2 linked regions of the Tribolium castaneum genome follow. The protein of the gene in region 2 purifies or fractionates together with the protein of the main gene of each other region. This does not show direct contact. Links are inferred from orthologs where the notes say so. Each region holds a gene or a part of one and is shown on either strand. Other genes may lie near its edges.

Region 1 (4,256 bases), on a different chromosome or scaffold from region 2:
CCACCAACCTCTGGACTTACCATTGGTAGCAAACAAGGCCTGGCCAACGTCATAGTGAACGAAGACATGATCACAGGATGGAAGTTCAAAATCTTGGGGTACATATCTAGAGGGGATAGGGTTCCAGAGGTTATAACCACGGTTTGAAACCGATCAAAAACCGGTTTTATGGCAATCGACGAATCCAAACAACTGAAATGTAAGATCGGGTTTGACACCGTCGGTGTCTTATCATCAAACGGTTCTACGATTATCGTAAAACCTTTCGTATAAGTGGCCACCAAAGTGGCCAAATGTGTGACTAAAATGACCGGACTGAAGTCGGTCAAGTCTGATATTTCCAAAGTTCTCAACAGAGATGCCAAGCGTTCAGCACAGAAACGTAACGGTTTTCGTTCAATACAGACTTTGGATTGGACGTCTTTTAAAAATCCAGCAGGGCTTTCTTGCACCACGTGCTGGACTCGCAGCCGAGTTTTGAGGTATTCGAGGAAACGTTTCAGGAAACTGACAAAGTGCTCGGCGTTGCGAATATTTCCAGGGACGGCCTCTGAAAATTAATAAATTACGCAATTTAATTTTTTTTCGAATTACTGACATAATAAATAACAATCAGCCCAAAAAATTAATTCGGAAATGGCAATATTTTTGCCTCTGTCTAGCATTTAAGTGCATTTTTGAGCTACAAAATTCTTCTCAAAGCATTACTAAACCAGGCGGACAAATCACAAAATATCATCGAAAATGCGATTATTTTTGCATTTTCCGAGCATTTTGTATGGTTGTTTTAGCCTGAAGTTCAATGATTTCGAATAATGCCCTCAAAAATAAGACAAAAAATAAGCAAATAAGTTTACTTTTGAGAGATTTCAGCAGAAAAAAGATTCTTATTTAATCGAAAATGACATTATTTTTTGCTTTTTTCATGTGTTTTTATTTAGAAACAGTTATTTCGTTGAAGATTGTTTCGTTGAAAAATATTCGACTGAATTAGGTCAACCAAATTTGGCTTTACCGAGTGTTTACCAGGTTTATGAGAAAAAAACAAGGTTTTCCTCCAAAAAAATTCGTTGAAAAAAGGATGAAAATCCAGGAAAATATATCGCAATTGATGCTACCTATTTTATTTATTTATTGTCAGGTCAGGTCAGGTCAGATCTGTTTAGTTTTTTAACTTTGTTAAACATGTTTAAAAATTATACACAAATCGAAAATTATACTATTGAGTTTGTTTCATTCGAATGACCTCGTTTTCGAGTGAAATTTTGCTAAAAATAAGTTAAAAATTATCAAACTTTGAAAACAGTGTTATTTTTTAAATTCTCAAGCTGTTAAGTACAAAGTTTTTTGGCTAAAAATCACTAAATTTCTTCATTTTTGTCAACGCATTAAGCTGTGTCTATATCACTCAGTGTTGCCAACTTAATTTCAACGTCACGGAATATATAAATCTAATTCGGGTATTACCCTGGAGGATGGCGTCGGGCAAGACCGGATTGGCCAAAATGACGTCAGTGTCTCGCGCCACGCTAGCGTCGCGCAGCCCCTCAACTAATCTCTGATATTCTTCTTGCAATTTTTTGTGATCGTCTTCACGCATCCTAAAAAATTTTAAAAAATCCAGAGAAAACTTAAACTTCCGGGGATTTACTCGGCCACAGTACGTTCCAATAACTGGATGTTGGCGGAAGCTCGATCGATAATTCGTTTGTTGATTTTCACACTCATTGAGTCGATGCAAACATTATCGATATTGTGAGCCTCATCGAAAATAACAACTGACTCTCGTGTCAGCTCTTTGGAGACGACTTCGGCGATCTTGGGGTCTAGTAAATAGTGGTAACTGTAGACTACGATATTCGCGTAACTTATCTAGGAAAAAGGGTCAGAAGTGCAATGTAAAGTGTGACCTCAAGTACCACAAAACGAGACAGGAAATAGGGGCACCAGTTGCGGTCCCGTCCGTACTGTTTCAAATCATCTATACTGTAAACCCCAAACGGCATCGTACTTTCTTTGCCATCCAAAGCGAAACCTTCGTAATACTGACAAATGGGAGTTGTATCATCGTAATTGTGCCTCTCCCTTATGTAACTCGCCGTTAGTGCGTGGCATTTTCCGTCCACAATCTTACCCTCGCGCTCAGTACTCACCTGAAATTTGCAAAATCAAGCCCGGTTATGCACCCCCAAATCACCTACTTCCGGGTGAATACATAGATTCTTCCGTGAGGACAAAACCAGCCCCAGGAGATGGGGGTACTCCCCGTCCAACTTCTCATAATACTCGAGCAGTTTTTTCAATTCTTCCATAACTTTCTCGATTTCGGGGACAGTACGAGAGCAGTAGATCAACTTGCGGACGTCATGGGGGTGCTCGAGCATGTATGCAACAACGAGGGAGAGAATGGTGGTGGTCTTACCCGTCCCTGAGGGCATTTCCAAAAGGCAGTGGCCCTAAAATTAACATAAAAAAGGGGCTGTGAAAGGCGGGGAGCGTACTTTGGCGTCCAGGGCCCGCTTGAGCTCGCACATGTAGGCATACTGCTCGGGGTAGATGTAGTCATAGGGGAAGTACACGATTAAGCCATCGACGTTTAGTCTAAAATTTTCGGTTTTGAGGCAACTCAAGTGCCAATAGTCGGGTTCTTACTTCATTTTTTGTATGGTGCTGGGTGAAACCGTGGTGTTTACATTGACCCGGTAGTTTTTTTAGGTTATGGCATGTTTGGAAAAAAGTGCGGTTATGCAATTTTTTGTAATATTTTCTAACAATAGGAACGTTTCTATTGCTGCTAATCGATTAGTAAGGAAGAAGGGGGCCTAAAAATTTAAGTCCTGTGAGCTGGAACCACGTATTCTATCAGTTATTCAAAGATTCTATAATAAGTAGGGTTATGTAATGTATTCAAGTATTCAAGAAGAAAACACCTTTTTATTTGGAAAATATTTATTAAAAACTTTATTGAATAAATTAATGGTTTTGTACAACACAAAATCAATCACACTTTGTCTTTCACGATAATTTTATCACCATTTTGCATTGAGTAAACTCCGATTTCTTTCATTTCATCCTCTAGAAGAATCTCGATTTCTGGATCGCTCTTGCTGGCGTAAATCAAGTGGGGCCTTCCACTCAAGCTGAACATTTTCTGTGTGAGGACTATAAGTTTTTGCACAGTCATTGTGAGAGGCACTTTCTTTTCTACCGTAAAGTCCTCAAAAACTATACTTAATTGGACCAACGTATTTTTAATAATTTTCGGTTTTGAGACAAGTTCACTCTCTTCCAGCTCGCCATATTCTGCAAAAATAACCGTAAAAACGTAACAAAAAAAATATAAACAGACTTTGTATCAATTCCAAATATCTGTTGTGGGTTTTGAGAAAATCAGCCTCTTTGTTGGTACCCTTGGCGTCCAACCATTCAAGACCGTACTTTTTCATGTAGTCGTATTCAGCCCCCCGTCTCTCAGTGGCTTCAATCTCAACCCCATTTAAAATTTTCAAGTTGGCAATTTTTGCGATTATTATTTGATGGATAGTGTCAGGTTCTTCCGATTCTGTGATGGGGTTTTTGGAAAATCGCAGATTTTCTAAACTTTCAAGCCGATTTAACTCAGCCACAGAACGCCACTAAAATCAATCCTCTCATGAACGGAAACGAACAAAGTTTCAGTCTTACCTCACGGATCAAGTTTTTCACAACACATAATTTTTTCATCGCTCTGAAAGCTTGTACTTTGGGGGAATCACCCTCAAACTCAATCAACTGGAGCCCAATATTCTCCAGAATAAGTTGCTCCAAGTGCGGTAAATCCCCCAATTTGCAGACCTCCGTCCAAAACTCAATGTTATTCCCTTCAAGATCGAGCAACTTTAATTTGGTGAAAAACCCCTCAGGTGTGCTAAGCCCCCGGATTTTGTTATTCGGAGCTCTGAACTCTTCAACTGACGGGAAAATGCGTCCAAGTTGGCAAATGTGCCCCCAGTCCAAGTCCATACACCCACAAATCAGAGTTGTCACGTTTGGAAAACTCTCACTAATCGTTGGCAAGTCCAGCAAATTCTCACTAACATTCAGCCAAAAAAGCCTCGGCAACTGGCGGCAAATCTCAAAAACGCTCTCCCAAGACACTAGCAAATTTTTCGAAATGTCCAACTCTTCAATATTCGGACACGTTTCTCCGAGTCGTAGCGGCGGACCCGCCGAATTAATCCCTTGGTCACGCAAATTGACGATTCTCAACGACGTGA
Region 2 (3,848 bases):
TTATTCCGGCAAATCTATACACAAGAAAGACGAATTTTCAACTGAAAATTGGTAAATTTCAGATCAGATTGGTTGGCATCTAATGTATTTTCTGACAAATTTAAAATTCATTACCATTTTTTAATCGAATTTAAATTCTCTGTTACCAATACAAGTCTCCAACAAGTACAGTTAAATATTATTATAAAAAATATTTATAAAACTTATTGAAATTGGGTGTAAACTGTATTTGTTCTAAAAATACAAAGCCAACTTGATTTTTTTTAATGTATTTTTTATAAAGAGCATTTTTGTGCTATGGTATAACACCTGCATACCTTATTTTAGTCGAAACTTAAAAAAATACCGAACAAATAAAATTTGGAAAAATATAACATTTTTTTAGTTTATTGTTAGAGCTCTGCCGCTTGAAATTTGATCAAATAATAAGTATAAGTTAATACTATAATTGTTAAAAAACACTTTTAACTGAAGAAGAACACATTTTAATAAAAAAATGTTTAAACACGAAATACATGATTTTTATGTTACAAAAAATGTTCAATATAATTTCCATTGCAATAATGAATACGTTGAACAAAATTTAGCAAAAAATTAATTAAAATATTTTGCGAAATATTGGCAGTTTCGTTTTTTATTCGTTGTAGGTCTTCGATCGCTAAGTATTTTCAAAATTGACTTAGTTTTTTTTCTCTATAAACCTTTATTATTTTTTTTATTATTATTTGTTCAATTTAATTTACAAATTGACATGCATTTGAAGGTTAAACGATAAAAATTTTTTTCTTTTAAACTTGAAATCTTGCTACAGAAAAAAATGTTATATTACATTATATACACGACGATAAAGATTGTTCATCTGCTCATAAAATAAGTAATCAATCTCATTATCGTCTTGTATAATAAATAACTATAATCTTTATATTGTTAATATTGTAATTATTAATTTTTTCCAAGCAATAATGGATATTGAACGAATTTTAAAAATTGCGTAAAAAACCGTTTGTGTTTTAATGAAATTTTGTGCAGAACATCGAGACATTTTTTTTATATGGCGCATATTGTTTGAGACCATGAACTAGATCCTAAATAATGACACAAAGAAATATATTTTTAAACATAAAAATACTTTTAACGACGCTGTTAGATATCTCTTCACTATAAGCAATTAACTATTTCCATAAACAAGTTGTAAACATATATGACAGTTATTACAACTTAAGTAAACATATTATTTTTTACTTTTACTACGTAGCAAAAATGGAAATTTTGTCCCAACAAAAGCCCAGTCGAATCTAACGTACTTGAATTTTAACAACGGTTATTTTTGCTCATTATTGTGTAGGTGTAGATTAATTATTGAAAATCCCACCTTAATACTACCGACTTTGACATTTGTTTGCCATCTAGTAGGCGAGTACAAAACTAGAAACAACAATTTTAATTTTAATTAAATAAAAGTAACGCAGCTAATTACCATATGATACCAAAATTTCTACGTTTTTAATTTTTTTGTAAAATTTTCAAATACATTATATAAAAAATTTAGATTACAGTTTTCTTTAAATAAAGTGTTACAAATTTGCGAGAGAGGTCGGCACGTTGCGTGACAGCCGTCATGTGTCAAACTAGCACGTAACCTAACTAAACAAATTTCAAAATCGCTCAAAATATGTTTTCCACGAGCACGCAGTGTAAAAATTGGATGTTTAACAGCGAAGATGAGTTAAATAAATTACGCGAAGCTGCGAATTTGAAGCATATCCAAGCCTACGGCCGCCACATCAATGTAAGTTTTTCGTGAGTGTTTCACGTTTTTTGAGTTTGTTGGTGCAGGAAGCCGCTCGTTTCGAGTTTTTTCTCACTGCCGAGGAGGAAAAGATAATGGTGAAACGTTACGAAATCCGATTACGCGATTTTTGTAAACGGTTTCAACCTCCGATGACGCGGTGTGTGATCGGGACTGCGTTCCATTATTTCAAGCGTTTTTACATTCACAATTCGGTAATGAACCACCATCCTAAGGAGATAATGTGAGGGGGAGGGATTTGTGTGTTGGTTTATTTTGACTGTGTTTATTAAAGGGTCACGTGTATTTATTTAGCGTGTAAGGTTGAAGAGTTCAATGTTTCCATTCAGCAATTTGTTGCCAATCTCAAAGGCGACAGGGAGAAGGCCACTGATATTATTTTGAACAACGAGTTGTTGCTGATGGAGCAGCTGAATTTCCAGTTGTCGATTCACAATCCGTTCAGGCCAGTGGAGGGACTACTAATTGATATTAAAGTTGGTTCAAGTACCTTGAAAGACTAATTCTAGGAGGCGAGACGGCGCTTTTTACGCTTTTTTGCCCCAAAAACTTCACTCATTTCACCAAGAATTACCAGTGAATTATACCAGCTTTTCAAGAGATGTAAAATTTTGATTTTTTTTGCTTAAAATTTTATGAAAATGAAAATTTTTTTCTTAAACTCTCTCTAGTAAAGTTTTGTGGACTTTTCTATACGTTCACGACTTCCGACCCGAAGTAAAAAATTCGTTTCGCCTCTTAGTTTTATTTCTTCATCGAATTTGATTTCCATTTAATTGTTTTTAGACTAGATGTGCATTAAATGATCCTGAACGTTTAAGGCCTGGAACTGAACATTTTCTCGAGAGAGCATTTTTAACAGACGTTGTGTTATTGTATTCTCCGAGTCAAGTGGCACTAGCTGCTGTTTTACACGCAGCCTCAAAATTGCAAGAAAATTTAGATTCTTACGTCACTGATACACTATTTGGGGTTGAGGGAAGTGGCAAATTGGCTGAATTAATTGAAGCCGTGCGAGCTATCCGATCTATTGTTAAAATGGTCGACGCTACGCCTGATAAAAATCAACAGAAACTTTTAGACAAGAAATTGGAGAAGTGTAGGAATCCTGAAAATAATCCCGATAGTGAAATGTACATCTCCTCCAAATTTTTATTCTTGGGTTAATTGTTACGTTCCAGATATAAGAAACGAATGCAGGCTTTGCTGGACGAAGATGACGATTTGTATCACCGTATTTCGACAAGGACTGATTCTTTGGATAACTCCGCCTTAGGCATGTCAGTGGGTGGTTCACCCGAAGTAGCGTAATATTGTGTACTGTATTTCAATTTTGTGAATAAAAACTATAACTTAAACATTTATTTCCTTGGTACAAAAATGACTTATTACAAATCTTTGGTTGAGTAAATAATTACGAATTTTCGAAATGTCTTCCGAAATTTTGAAGCTGCATCATTGGTGAGTTTTCATTCTGGTGATGTTCCGGAAAGCTGACGTAGTTTGGAACACACTGTCTAGGCACCAGGGGTGTGGTGGGCGGCGGTGGTAACATGCTGGGCACTGAGGGCACACTAGAGAGCCCGGGTTGGCCAGGATAGTTGAAAAACCTAAAAGTTGTTAGCACAAAATACGAAATTAAAAAACATCAAATAAAGCAACTTTTCATTTATTACAAAAAAAAAGAAGTGAATAAATACCATAATCTGTCTCCCAGAAAAATAGGCCTTGGGGTGAGAATCCCCATCGAGGTGTAATATTGCTGTGCTAGAAGTTCGACATCGTTCGTATATTTCCTCTTCCACTTGGTTCTCCGATTTTGGAACCAGATCTTGATTTGCGTCTCCGTTAATTTGAGCGTCTTGGAGAGTTGGCACCTCTTCGCCACCGACAGATATTTGTTCCGTTCAAATTCCGCCTCCAGAGATTTAATCTGTGAGGCTGTGAAGGCCGTCCTCGGCCTCTTCTTCCTCTCATCGTCCGATCTGTTGTCGCCACACTCTAAAAAGCACGAACCCAACACCAAACAGTTGTTTTT

Evidence for each region.
Region 1: the proteins of CycH (region 2) and Xpd purify together in Homo sapiens (affinity purification with mass spectrometry; 3 studies listed by BioGRID and IntAct, counting the BioPlex papers as one, with this or other methods). This does not show direct contact. The link is inferred for Tribolium castaneum from reciprocal best matches to the Homo sapiens genes CCNH and ERCC2.

The regions. Positions count from the first base shown.
Region 1 is NC_087394.1:27,625,776-27,630,031, reverse strand, and holds the start of Xpd (general transcription and DNA repair factor IIH helicase subunit XPD), read right to left. Parts: upstream 2,837-4,256; 5' UTR 2,658-2,836; coding exon 2,653-2,657; intron 2,602-2,652; coding exon 2,502-2,601; intron 2,457-2,501; coding exon 2,202-2,456; intron 2,154-2,201; coding exon 1,920-2,153; intron 1,873-1,919; coding exon 1,652-1,872; intron 1,602-1,651; coding exon 1,468-1,601; intron 551-1,467; coding exon 21-550; intron 1-20. Other genes in the region: Tbce (tubulin-specific chaperone E), read right to left, coding at 3,002-3,303, 3,350-3,635, 3,685-4,256. UniProt on the Homo sapiens protein: ATP-dependent 5'-3' DNA helicase. Component of the general transcription and DNA repair factor IIH (TFIIH) core complex, not absolutely essential for minimal transcription in vitro.
Region 2 is NC_087396.1:24,077,302-24,081,149, reverse strand, and holds CycH (cyclin-H), read left to right. Parts: upstream 1-1,587; 5' UTR 1,588-1,672; coding exon 1,673-1,789; intron 1,790-1,836; coding exon 1,837-2,033; intron 2,034-2,084; coding exon 2,085-2,286; intron 2,287-2,596; coding exon 2,597-2,943; intron 2,944-2,991; coding exon 2,992-3,121; 3' UTR 3,122-3,168; downstream 3,169-3,848. UniProt on the Homo sapiens protein: Regulates CDK7, the catalytic subunit of the CDK-activating kinase (CAK) enzymatic complex. CAK activates the cyclin-associated kinases CDK1, CDK2, CDK4 and CDK6 by threonine phosphorylation.